Drosophila melanogaster: one gene and its partner. The gene in region 1 interacts genetically with each later gene. Each region holds a gene or a part of one and is shown on either strand. Other genes may lie near its edges.

Region 1 (5,516 bases):
CCCTCTCCAGCTTCCTATCCTTGTCCCGCTCTCTGTCCCAGGTCTCTTGCTCCCGATCGCGATCCTTCTTTAGCAGAATTTTTGGCTGCATCATGCGGGCGGCGTCCTCGCGCCGGGCGATGGTCACGGGTGCCAGGAGGCCGGAGCAGGCTTCATCCCGCTTTTTGTTACGGAAACGACGACGGGGATCAGCCATTCGGAAGCCGGTTATTTGGGGTTTATATTTGACTAAATTTAAATCGGTTTGAACACGTTCGTGGGTGTCAACGCTAATACATTGTTTCGCAGCACTGGTATGTACATAACCATCGCAGATGTCGTGGAAATATAGCTAAAAAGCGAAAAATACGAAATTAAGGACAACATTTTTAATTTCAGACGCAACAATCGGCTGGCCCAACAAATAACGGTACACAAGATTATCCACTTTTTTTTATCACAATTGCACTGGACTTATAGCCAAATATTTTTAATCATGAGAAGTGAAAGGCAAGCACATATCTAAATCTAGCTCGAAACCAGATGGATGCTCATCTTGCACACTGTCACCAGTGTTGGTAACCGAGTGCATTGTGAGCGGAACGTTCCGACACCTACTTTGTTTATTTATTGTTATTAATTAGGAAGCATGCCCCTCGTGGTGATTACGGGCCTGCCAGCCAGCGGAAAGAGCACACGTGCCCGCCAGCTACGGGATCATTTCGTGGAGCGCGGCAGGAAGGTGCATCTAATCAGCGAAAACGAGGCAGTGCCCAAGGCGGGTTTTGGAAAGAATTCCCATACAGGTGATTCGCAGAAGGAGAAGGTGGTACGTAGCGATCTTAAGTCGGAAGCCTCGCGTCACCTTAACCAGGAGGATCTGGTCATCTTGGACGCCGGGAACTACATCAAAGGTGAGCTCTCACCAAGGTTCAGCTAAGGTTCGTAAACCACAACCAAAATTTCTTCCAGGCTACCGCTACGAATTGTACTGCATGTCCAAGGTGTCAAGGACCACCCAGTGCACTGTGTTTACCTGCATACCCCAGGAGGAGGCGTGGACCTTTAATAGCCAAAGAACGGCGCCGGATGAACTGCCTGGCGACAGTGAAAGAGTTCAGCCGGTGGACAACTCGGATGTTCCCTACACCAGAGAGACTTTTGATGCTCTGTGCCAGCGCTACGAGGAGCCGCAGAGCAACAACCGTTGGGACAGTCCGCTGGTGGTAGTCTTGCCCAAGGACACGCTCGACATGGAGGCCATCTACAAGGCCTTGTACGAGTCCCAGCCACTGCCACCCAACCAGAGTACTTATAATGTAAGCGTAGAGCTTGGCCAGAGTTGAAGACAAAATATCACAAGTAACTGCTTTGTCCATTCCGCAGGCACCGCTGGGAACAACCAACTACCTGTTCGAACTGGACAAAATCGTGCAGGCGATCATCAAGGAGATCCTCGGCGCCGTCAAGATCAAGGCCTTCGGCCAGCTGCGCATCCCAGGGAGCAGAAATCCCGTGAAGGTCGCCACTTCGATGAATGCCCTCCAGCTGAACCGCCTGCGCCAGAAGTTCATCACGAGCACGTGCCACGCCAGCCAGACGTCACCCACTCCGCTGGAGCAGGTGCCGCACTTGTTCGTGCAGTTCATCAATGCCAACACGATCGGCTGCTAGCACTGTGATTGCGACAAGACAAATGCTAAAATAAAGTTCTTACCTCGGGCAGCAGGATAATGTTTTTGGGCTGATGTTGACACAATTTAATGTGGAAATCAAATAAAATATGTAGCTTAAATACTAATATGAAAATCGTTTTTGATTATTATTATCACTATGGATTAATTAAGTTGACTCTTCTGGGTTCTTGTGGCGTACTTAATTGCAGTGCATTTTCTGCTTATTTATTATTTCGTAAGGAAAACAATACATTTTTGTTTGTTCAAAGTGAGTTCAAAACTACATGAAATCAATAAAAAAAAATTTACGTATTTCCATTTGAATTTAAAAAATATTTTCCTTCGCCTATAAAATCTACTCTACTTACAGCGAAAAAAGTTCAGTGAACGAACTTTTCTCTTGCGCAGCGGGAACGAAGAGAACCCTCTCTTGAGCGCGCTCTTCGGGCGCTCTCTTCCAACGCAGCGCTGCAGCACGAGATTGGGGCAAGTGGAGTGGTGGTGCCAGTCGGTGGTGGATTGTTCAGTGTATCCCACGAGCTAGTCGCGCGCGGAAAGCAAACGCTTCGAAAATCAAACGATATTTCCGTTGTGGGTTCCCAAGAAATAAAATAATAACACAAAACGAAATAACTATTTTTTTACGTTTTTTTTGTTGCCTCTCCAGGATTTTGTTGACCATCGTAGATTGGATATGTGAAACAAATTTTAAGGGCCTCCACTTTCTCTATCTCGCCCTAGCAGCAAGGTGCACTGTGTGTGTGTGCGACAATTTTACAAGTGCAACATGAATAAATGCAAAGAAAATTTTTTTTTTAATTGTTGACAACAAGAATTTGCAAGCATCTTCAAAGATCCAACAGAAAATTGGCTTGTTTTTGTTTTGTGTGTGTGTGTACGTGTGCGTGCGTGCGTGTGTGTGTGCGGCGCAAATATAAAAAAAATGCATAACGACACCTTGGCACTGACGCTATTTTTTTAATTCTATTTTTTATGTGTGTGTTCCGTTGCAGTTGACGTTTAACCCCCACCCACCCAAATAAAGCAAATCTAACTAAAGAGTCCTGCAAAAAAATCAACAGCTGCTTGATCTTGAAGCCTCCATATCTTGAAATCCTGCATCAGCCAACAGCCCCAAAACAAAACAAAACAAAACGAATGCAAATACACTAATGTGAACAACAACTAAATTGCTAGTGAAATGTTTTAAGCCAAATGCTGTGAGTGTGTAACAAAAAAAAAAAAAAAAAAAAAAAAAAAAGAAGAGTGATTCAAAGCAACCGCAAGCAATCAACTTGTAACGGTAGTCGGATACTCGCTTGCCCGCGGAGCATGGATATCGCCCCAGTTCCGCCACCACCATTATCGATATCCGTATCGCTTTCGGCTCCAGGATCAACGGTATTCGCAAACGCTGGCCACTAGAGAAGCGTCAGCCGAATGCCTCAAAGATGACACCGCTGCAACGGGACCAATTGAAGTGAGTACCACTAAGGATTCTCTCTAGCATTTAAGAAGTGCGAAATACATTCGCTTGGATTATCGATAGGACTAGGGAGGTTTCCCACACTAGATCATATTAGATCATGTAGATAGTGCAGACCGTTAGAATTAGAATTCAAGGCTCTGGCCATAAATACGAGTAACATGTACATTTCGCCAAATGGCGCAACACTTTAATCACTGACCAATAATCCGGGTGATGGCATTATAATTGGCCTACGGCTGCGGGGTTCTACAGCCCCATAGAGCCCAGCTGGGCTTAAGTTCAGCAGTTTAGGAGGCGCTTGGGCTTAGTCACCGCGCCTTAAAGTTCACCAAAAGGGGTGGGAGGTGGAGCAGCAGCAGCAGCAGAAGCACATGTTGGCCGGTTCGTTGGCCTGGCCGAGATATCTCGAAATAAAAAAGTTCGAGCTCGAGTTCGCCGCTCTCTGTTTATGAATGAAACGCAACGAGGAAGCGCGCGCAAAACTCAAAGCCAAAGAGAGAGGCAAAGAGAGCTGAGAGAAATGGCCAGAGAAAATGGAAATGGAAATGCGGAACAAAAACAATGAACGTAAACGTCTCTTGCTCTCTCTCTCTCACGCTACCGATGGCGAGTTCATCGACCTTTGCTATTGAAATTTTTGGGAACGCACTCACACACAGATACGAAACACGCACACGAACACAAGCATGTATGCGAGTGCTGCTTATTTACACATTGATAAACAATCGTTGATGCTGAATGTCGATGACTACGATTTTAATGCCGCTAAACCCCAATTATATTAAAGGCTTGCAGATGCCCTTTCTGGCCAAGTTTCCATATTGTATGTGAAATGATGTTCGATTTGCGATAAACCAAACACGCAAAAAACGCGACCGCAAATAAAGGGTTGTTCGCGTATGTTTATAATAGCTACCTTCTTAATTTTCTTGTTACATTTTTGTAAACAAGTATTTCGAAGTATTTGAAATATTTGTAAGCTATCAAAAATTATTTAAAATTATGTTGTGTCTGACTCCTGTTTGTGGGAAGGGCATCGAAAGTGCGGCGACATTTGTGCCACCCATTTATTGGCTGGTTTCTTCTTCCTGATTGCGATGTGTGTGTGCTTGTGTGTGTGTGTGTGTGTGTGTGTGTGAGTAGCGGGTGGGTTGGCAAACGCACGATAACAACGCCTAGAACTTGGGGACTCTCCGCTTGGCACGGGAAGCGAGGGGGTGGCATCCAGAAATGGGGACTGGGGCCATTGGGCATTGTTTTGTTTCTGCTCCCTGCTTCTTCGCATTACGACTGCCGCTTGTTACCAAGTCCCAAATGACTCTACATTGCTATATGTACATGTGTGCCTGGGCGCAGGGGAGTAGGCGGCAGTTGATTAAGGGGATTTTAGATCCCAGGACGAGTCCTCGCAGCTCGGACATTCTCGGGAATAGTAAAGGCAACAAAACCTGGCTAACTTCAAAGGGTTCTTGGTTCGGGGTTCCTGGGCTTTTTGGACTTTTTGGGGTCTCTGCACCACAAAACTTGAATCCCCTTTGCACGCCACTGGAATTCTTGTGCGAGTGCTGTATCTGTGTGTTCGTGCGAGGTCAATGACCAAAAATGTAGTGACAAGGGCGTCAGAGTGATTCCAAAATTTGTGTATATTTCGCCATTACAGCAAAGAAACAAGGAAGAGACCGTAAAAAAGGGGCAATGCTTTATTCTGGTTTTGTGTCTGTTTTCTCGTTGCTCTGTTGATGTTTTTCGTTTCGGGTATTTCTGGAGAAGCAGTTAGAACTTACCCTGTCCAGAGCCACAAACGTTGAAACCTTCAAAATCGGTTTCAATGTCATGTAACCCCCGTTTACATGGCTTACCCGTGCGCGAAAGAGACAGACGGACGGCAGGGGTGGCAAAGGTTTGGGCAACGCAAACGCAATCACACGTACGTTGGGCGCCCAATTATGGGAATATATGTATGTACATATGTATTGGGAAATGCCCATGCAGGCAGGAATCCGGGAAACCGAAAACCAATGGCTTTCAATCCCGCATCCCGAATTCTGACAGCTGTCAAATGCCGAAAGCCATCTTAAATGGCACACTTGCGGTGCGAAGTAGATTCCAGTTTTGGTGTTTGTCTTTAGCTGCTTCAAATATTCAGGGTTGTCGAAATGGAAGCTTAATGAAGGGATTTACCCTTCTTATATTTTACAACAAAAAAAAACACTGTTTCGAACTTTTCGCTGTGTAAAAATTTGTGTTGCATATACACAAGTGAATACGTGCGTGGCTGTCGTATTTGTTTCATTTCCTTTTGTTTCGATGCCTTCGATTCCATTTCGTTTCGCCTTGCATTTTAATCAATGCCAATGAACTTGAAGTTTATT
Region 2 (4,517 bases), on another chromosome or scaffold:
TTAACATATGTGGCACTAATTTAACTAAATTAACTACAAATATGTTATCATAAACTGTCTCTCCGCCGAGCATAATTGCAGGCGCTAAGAAGGAATTTGAGTGGAAAACGAACCCGAATGAAAACTTGATCCAGGACACGCGACTGACACTATGCGAGCATTTGCATACCCTATAATTTCCCCCTTGCTTATCATCGCCAAAAATCAAGCCACACGCGAAAAAAAAGGATAGCGAAGGACCCTAATTTCCAGGTCGCTTATTGTCATGTCACGACAATTAAACAATTTCTTGTGCGCTGGTTCCAGTGCGCTTTTGAGCGATTTAAATTAAGATAGGCGGCAAATTAGCGGCCCGAAATGTTTGCATAATTATTATTTGACTGGCGAACTTATCAGGCGCCGCTGATCGCTTGCTGCCACAGATGTTACACTTTTTCCACTTCTGGGGTTAAATGGGTTTCCGGGCTTGCTAAAGGGTACACCCCCTTTGCCCTTTTCCTCTTTTTCCCTTTGACCCCGAGCCCGATGACTTGGACATTGGTGGCACAAACTGGGATCTGCGGTTAAGCGTCACCTTTGCTTTTTAACCCTTTTGGGTGGAGTGTGCCTGGCATGACACGACGGGAAAATTCTCTGTCTGCCCTTAACCAAAAATGTGTTTTCCCTTTTAAGGTGACATATTGGTTTTGACGATAGCGATCGCTAAATGTTTGCTTACTCCGCCTTTTCCTGGCAGGACGGTTATCCTTTGCCATTTCATTGCCCAAAATGGAATACAAAGGCTTAATTCATAAGCGGTTATTAAAAGAGTGTATTAAACAAAATTTCATATTATTTTGACGTATTTTTTTATAAAAACTTTGGTGAAACAAATAAATATTCTTTTGAATTTATTTTAAAAACGTTTTAGTTTATTTTTAAAATATTTTAAAAACGCTTCGAATAATTTTTCAAAAACATTTTAATAGAGTTCTACACCTCCGAAATAAAAGGTAATTAAATATATATATCTCGGCAATGGTGTTGGTAAAATTCTTTATGTTTTTCTGAAAAGGGACAATAATAATCGTTCAAAGTATTTTTTAATTTTTTATAAAATTGTATTTATTTTTTGCTTGTTTGTCTTATAAAAATTTTAATTTCTTACAAATGCTATCTTTACATGTGATTAATTTCAATATTTCTTGTTTAATTTGCAATGCCAAAATTAAAATAATATGTTTTGAATTTTGCTAAAATCAATAATAATGATAAGATACATTTCAAATTTTGTTATTCTTGATTATTCGTATCAAAATTGCTTAAATGTTTGTTGTTGTTTTGTTTAATTTTTGTTAAAATGTATTCTGTTCGGCGGTTCTTGTATTCTATTTTTTGTAGACGTTTTGTATTTTCTCTCTTTGTTGTAAACATATAAAATTTGCTGTTTGCTTAAAATCTATTTTGTACAATTGAGTTGTTGTCTTTTGTTATTCTTGTTGCTGCGGTTGCATCTTTGTTTTGTTGTTGGTTCTGTATTGTAGTTCTGTAATATTAGTTTACGATTTATATTTGTAAGTAGTTGAAATGTAGTTGAAGTAGTTGAAGTAGAAAATTTGACAATTATTTGTTAGTTGAGTACGATACTTGTGGTTTTGCTCATACGTATAGACACTAATAAGGTTTATGACAATTTTACACATTTCTCTTTATGCTCTCTAAATGTTGTTAAGTATGTTTATGTATTTGAACCAACCGGGAAACCTTTGCTTGCAAAATTAAACATTTTTTCAAAACTTATATCGGAAAATTTGACATCCAAAAAAGTAACAAACAACCAAAATCACTTTAAGCAAGTCGATGACAAATTTTGAATTTTCTCTCTCTCAAAAATAGTTTAAAAATAGTTTTCTTATTTTGTTGTGGAAATATCCCATGTTTTACAAAACTCGTTCCTCCTCATGTGTCCATACCCAAAAAAGAAATCACAATGCGCTTTGATTGAGCCTGCCTTTCCCAGAAAATCCCAAAGATTTTCTCTCCACCAGGATGAAATATGGAAACCAAATTTAGTTCTCCTTGGAGGTGGCATCAGTCACGTCGTCCTCATCGTTGTTCTGACCGCCGCTGCTGATCTCGAAGGATATCTGAATGACCGTCGGTTGACGCTGGCTCGAACTGTAGCTGTAGATTCGCAGAGCGTAGCAGAAGATCTGGGCCAAAAGATCCCAGCATCCAAACTCCGACATGGTCATCGATCCCTGTTGACTTCCCAGCGGCACGGAAATATTGGCACGGAATTGTGGGCGCTGTTGCTGATGATGATGTCGCTGCTGCTGCTGCTGTTGTTGCGATTGTTGCTGCTGCTGCGATGGTGCAGCAGCTGTTGCAGTTGTCCTTGGACTCGCTGCTGTCTGCTGGCCGTTTTGCTGATAGCTTCTGGCCAACAATTGGGCCTGGTCGGGTATGAAATAGGCGATGGCCATGGCGGTATTTAATTTAATACAAAATGTGATTTTACAAAACGTATGAATCTTTAAAAAAATATATAACTTTAGTGTAGCATATATTTTTAATGTTTGATTTCAATATCGCTGAGGAATAATATATTCCATTCACTGCTTGCACTTTAAGTCTTGTAAGTCTTTATGTTTCGTATCGAGCACTTGGAAAATTTTTCTGACTCATTTGGCGGGAAAACGAACGAGGAAACTTGTCGCTTTTTGACGAACTTTCAACTGCGCTTTTCGCTTCCGCTTGTTATTCAATGTTCTCTCGTCGAGGTTTCAGAGTGGACTGACTGTAAATATCCTTGCTGCAGTCACATTTATAAAATAGCTCTCTTTGTACTTTCCTATAGGAAGCGAGTTCCTCTCTCGCAGTGAATGTCACCCTCCCAATTTCCACCACCCCCCGGGAGTTTGTGTGTATTGTGTGTGTGCTTTGTTTATGCCAACAACCAACCAATTGAACCACCAACCACAGGAACCCACACCACTGACAATGTGCCACCACCACCGCCAGTTTACCACCCCAAAGACACGGCTGCCTTTGTTACCTTTACTTCGGAACTAGAAAGGGGGTGGGAAAGTGGCTGAGAAGCGGTGAGAGACTCGGGAAATGAGAGCGGAATTGGGGAAAATCATTTCACGTAAGAGTGCTACGTCAAATAAAACGTAAGCTCTTTGGGATTTCGTTGTTCGAAGCGCGGCATCGAATTCATTTCGAATTTCAGGGGTTAACTTGGGCGTACTTGCTCTAGCTGAGTCTAGCAATTTTGAGGGGAAGTTTGGTCGTCGTATGCTCATTTCGAATTTCGAACTTGGATTTCACTACGGATGAATCAACAATTGTTTGTTATGACATTTTGGTTCGCATAGAAACTGATTTTTGGTGATTAAATGCAATTTAATCTTGCTTATTGTACCTATTATTAGTATAATTATTATTTTCAATATTCATTAATGGCAAACAAATTTATACCAGGGACCAACGAGATCTTTTCTTACATTGTATCACTTTGGGTTATTTATAGTATACTTCTTTACATACTTAATATATTTCAAAACAGCGGAGTCTCCTTCACCTAAAATCTCTTGGAACCACTAACCCGCTTTCAAGTTAAGCATCCTTCAACTCAAAAAGCTTGCACGGCAAATCTTTGATGCGAAAACCTTGCGTAATGGTCCTTGAAGATTCCCCCTATTGCAGCCTTAAACTTGACCATAACAAAGGGCACCCAAATGGATTGACCTTCAAGCTAACGCGAATCCAGCTCCCTCAAACATTATGCTGACGACAATTTCAACCTTGGAAAATGTTTGATCCCAGCTCCCCCATTTTCCGTTAGCTGCAGCTCATCCATTATGATAAGCTGTTCCCGGATAGTTGCAAAGTCAAGAAAGCAGTGGCTGTGGTAGAGGGGTATGAAGAAAGTATACTTATGCAAAACTGATTATAAGAAAAATTGAGAATAATTTTTGGGTATAATTTCATGAAAAAATAAATTTTATCAATAATGTAAATTTATTGAATTTGTTTTATATAATTTATTTACAATCATGATGAATTAAAATCTTACATATGGAATAAATCATAATAACGATTTTTTTTAATTAGACAAGTATATTGTATTATCTCCTCCTCTGTCCCAAATGTTCAATAAATGTCATTTAACACTTTAACATTCCAGAAAAGGACTTCCAGGGAGCGGAAAGCATAAAGCCAATTGAGCTTATTTCCTCCCCCTATGTAACATTTTTGCTGAGGGAGCTCCAACAAGGCCATCGCCAAGGCCAAGTCCGCCACTTGTGGGTGATGTTCCACAAGTCTCCTACCGGCAAAAGCTTTTTATTTCTCACCCAACTGGCTTCAAGGTCGTGCCGGCCGGCATTTCCACCCACATTCAGCTTTTCCTCTTCATTTTTGTGCGTGCGACCTTGACAATGAAATTCGTTTAGGGAGCACAGCTCCTCCAAAGAAAGTGTGGGTGAGCTTTTCCTGACACAGTTGACAGCACGTGGTCGTTATATTCTGGC

The links.
Region 2: of Hr4 (region 1) and grim, changing one suppresses a phenotype caused by changing the other (phenotypic suppression), as found in Drosophila melanogaster (one study listed by BioGRID).

What each region holds. Positions count from the first base shown.
Region 1 is NC_004354.4:1,939,759-1,945,274, forward strand, and holds the start of Hr4 (hormone receptor 4), read left to right. Parts: upstream 1-2,181; 5' UTR 2,182-2,246; exon of another isoform or gene 2,247-2,668; 5' UTR 2,669-3,106; coding exon 3,107-3,135; intron 3,136-5,516. Other genes in the region: CG3857 (uncharacterized protein), read right to left, coding at 1-196; CG3587 (uncharacterized protein), read left to right, coding at 629-893, 952-1,298, 1,366-1,653. UniProt on the Drosophila melanogaster protein: Coordinates growth and maturation by mediating endocrine responses to the attainment of critical weight during larval development.
Region 2 is NT_037436.4:18,301,635-18,306,151, forward strand, and holds grim (grim), read right to left. Parts: upstream 2,784-4,517; 5' UTR 2,466-2,783; coding exon 2,049-2,465; 3' UTR 1,085-2,048; downstream 1-1,084. UniProt on the Drosophila melanogaster protein: Activator of apoptosis, independent of rpr and hid, that acts on the effector Dredd.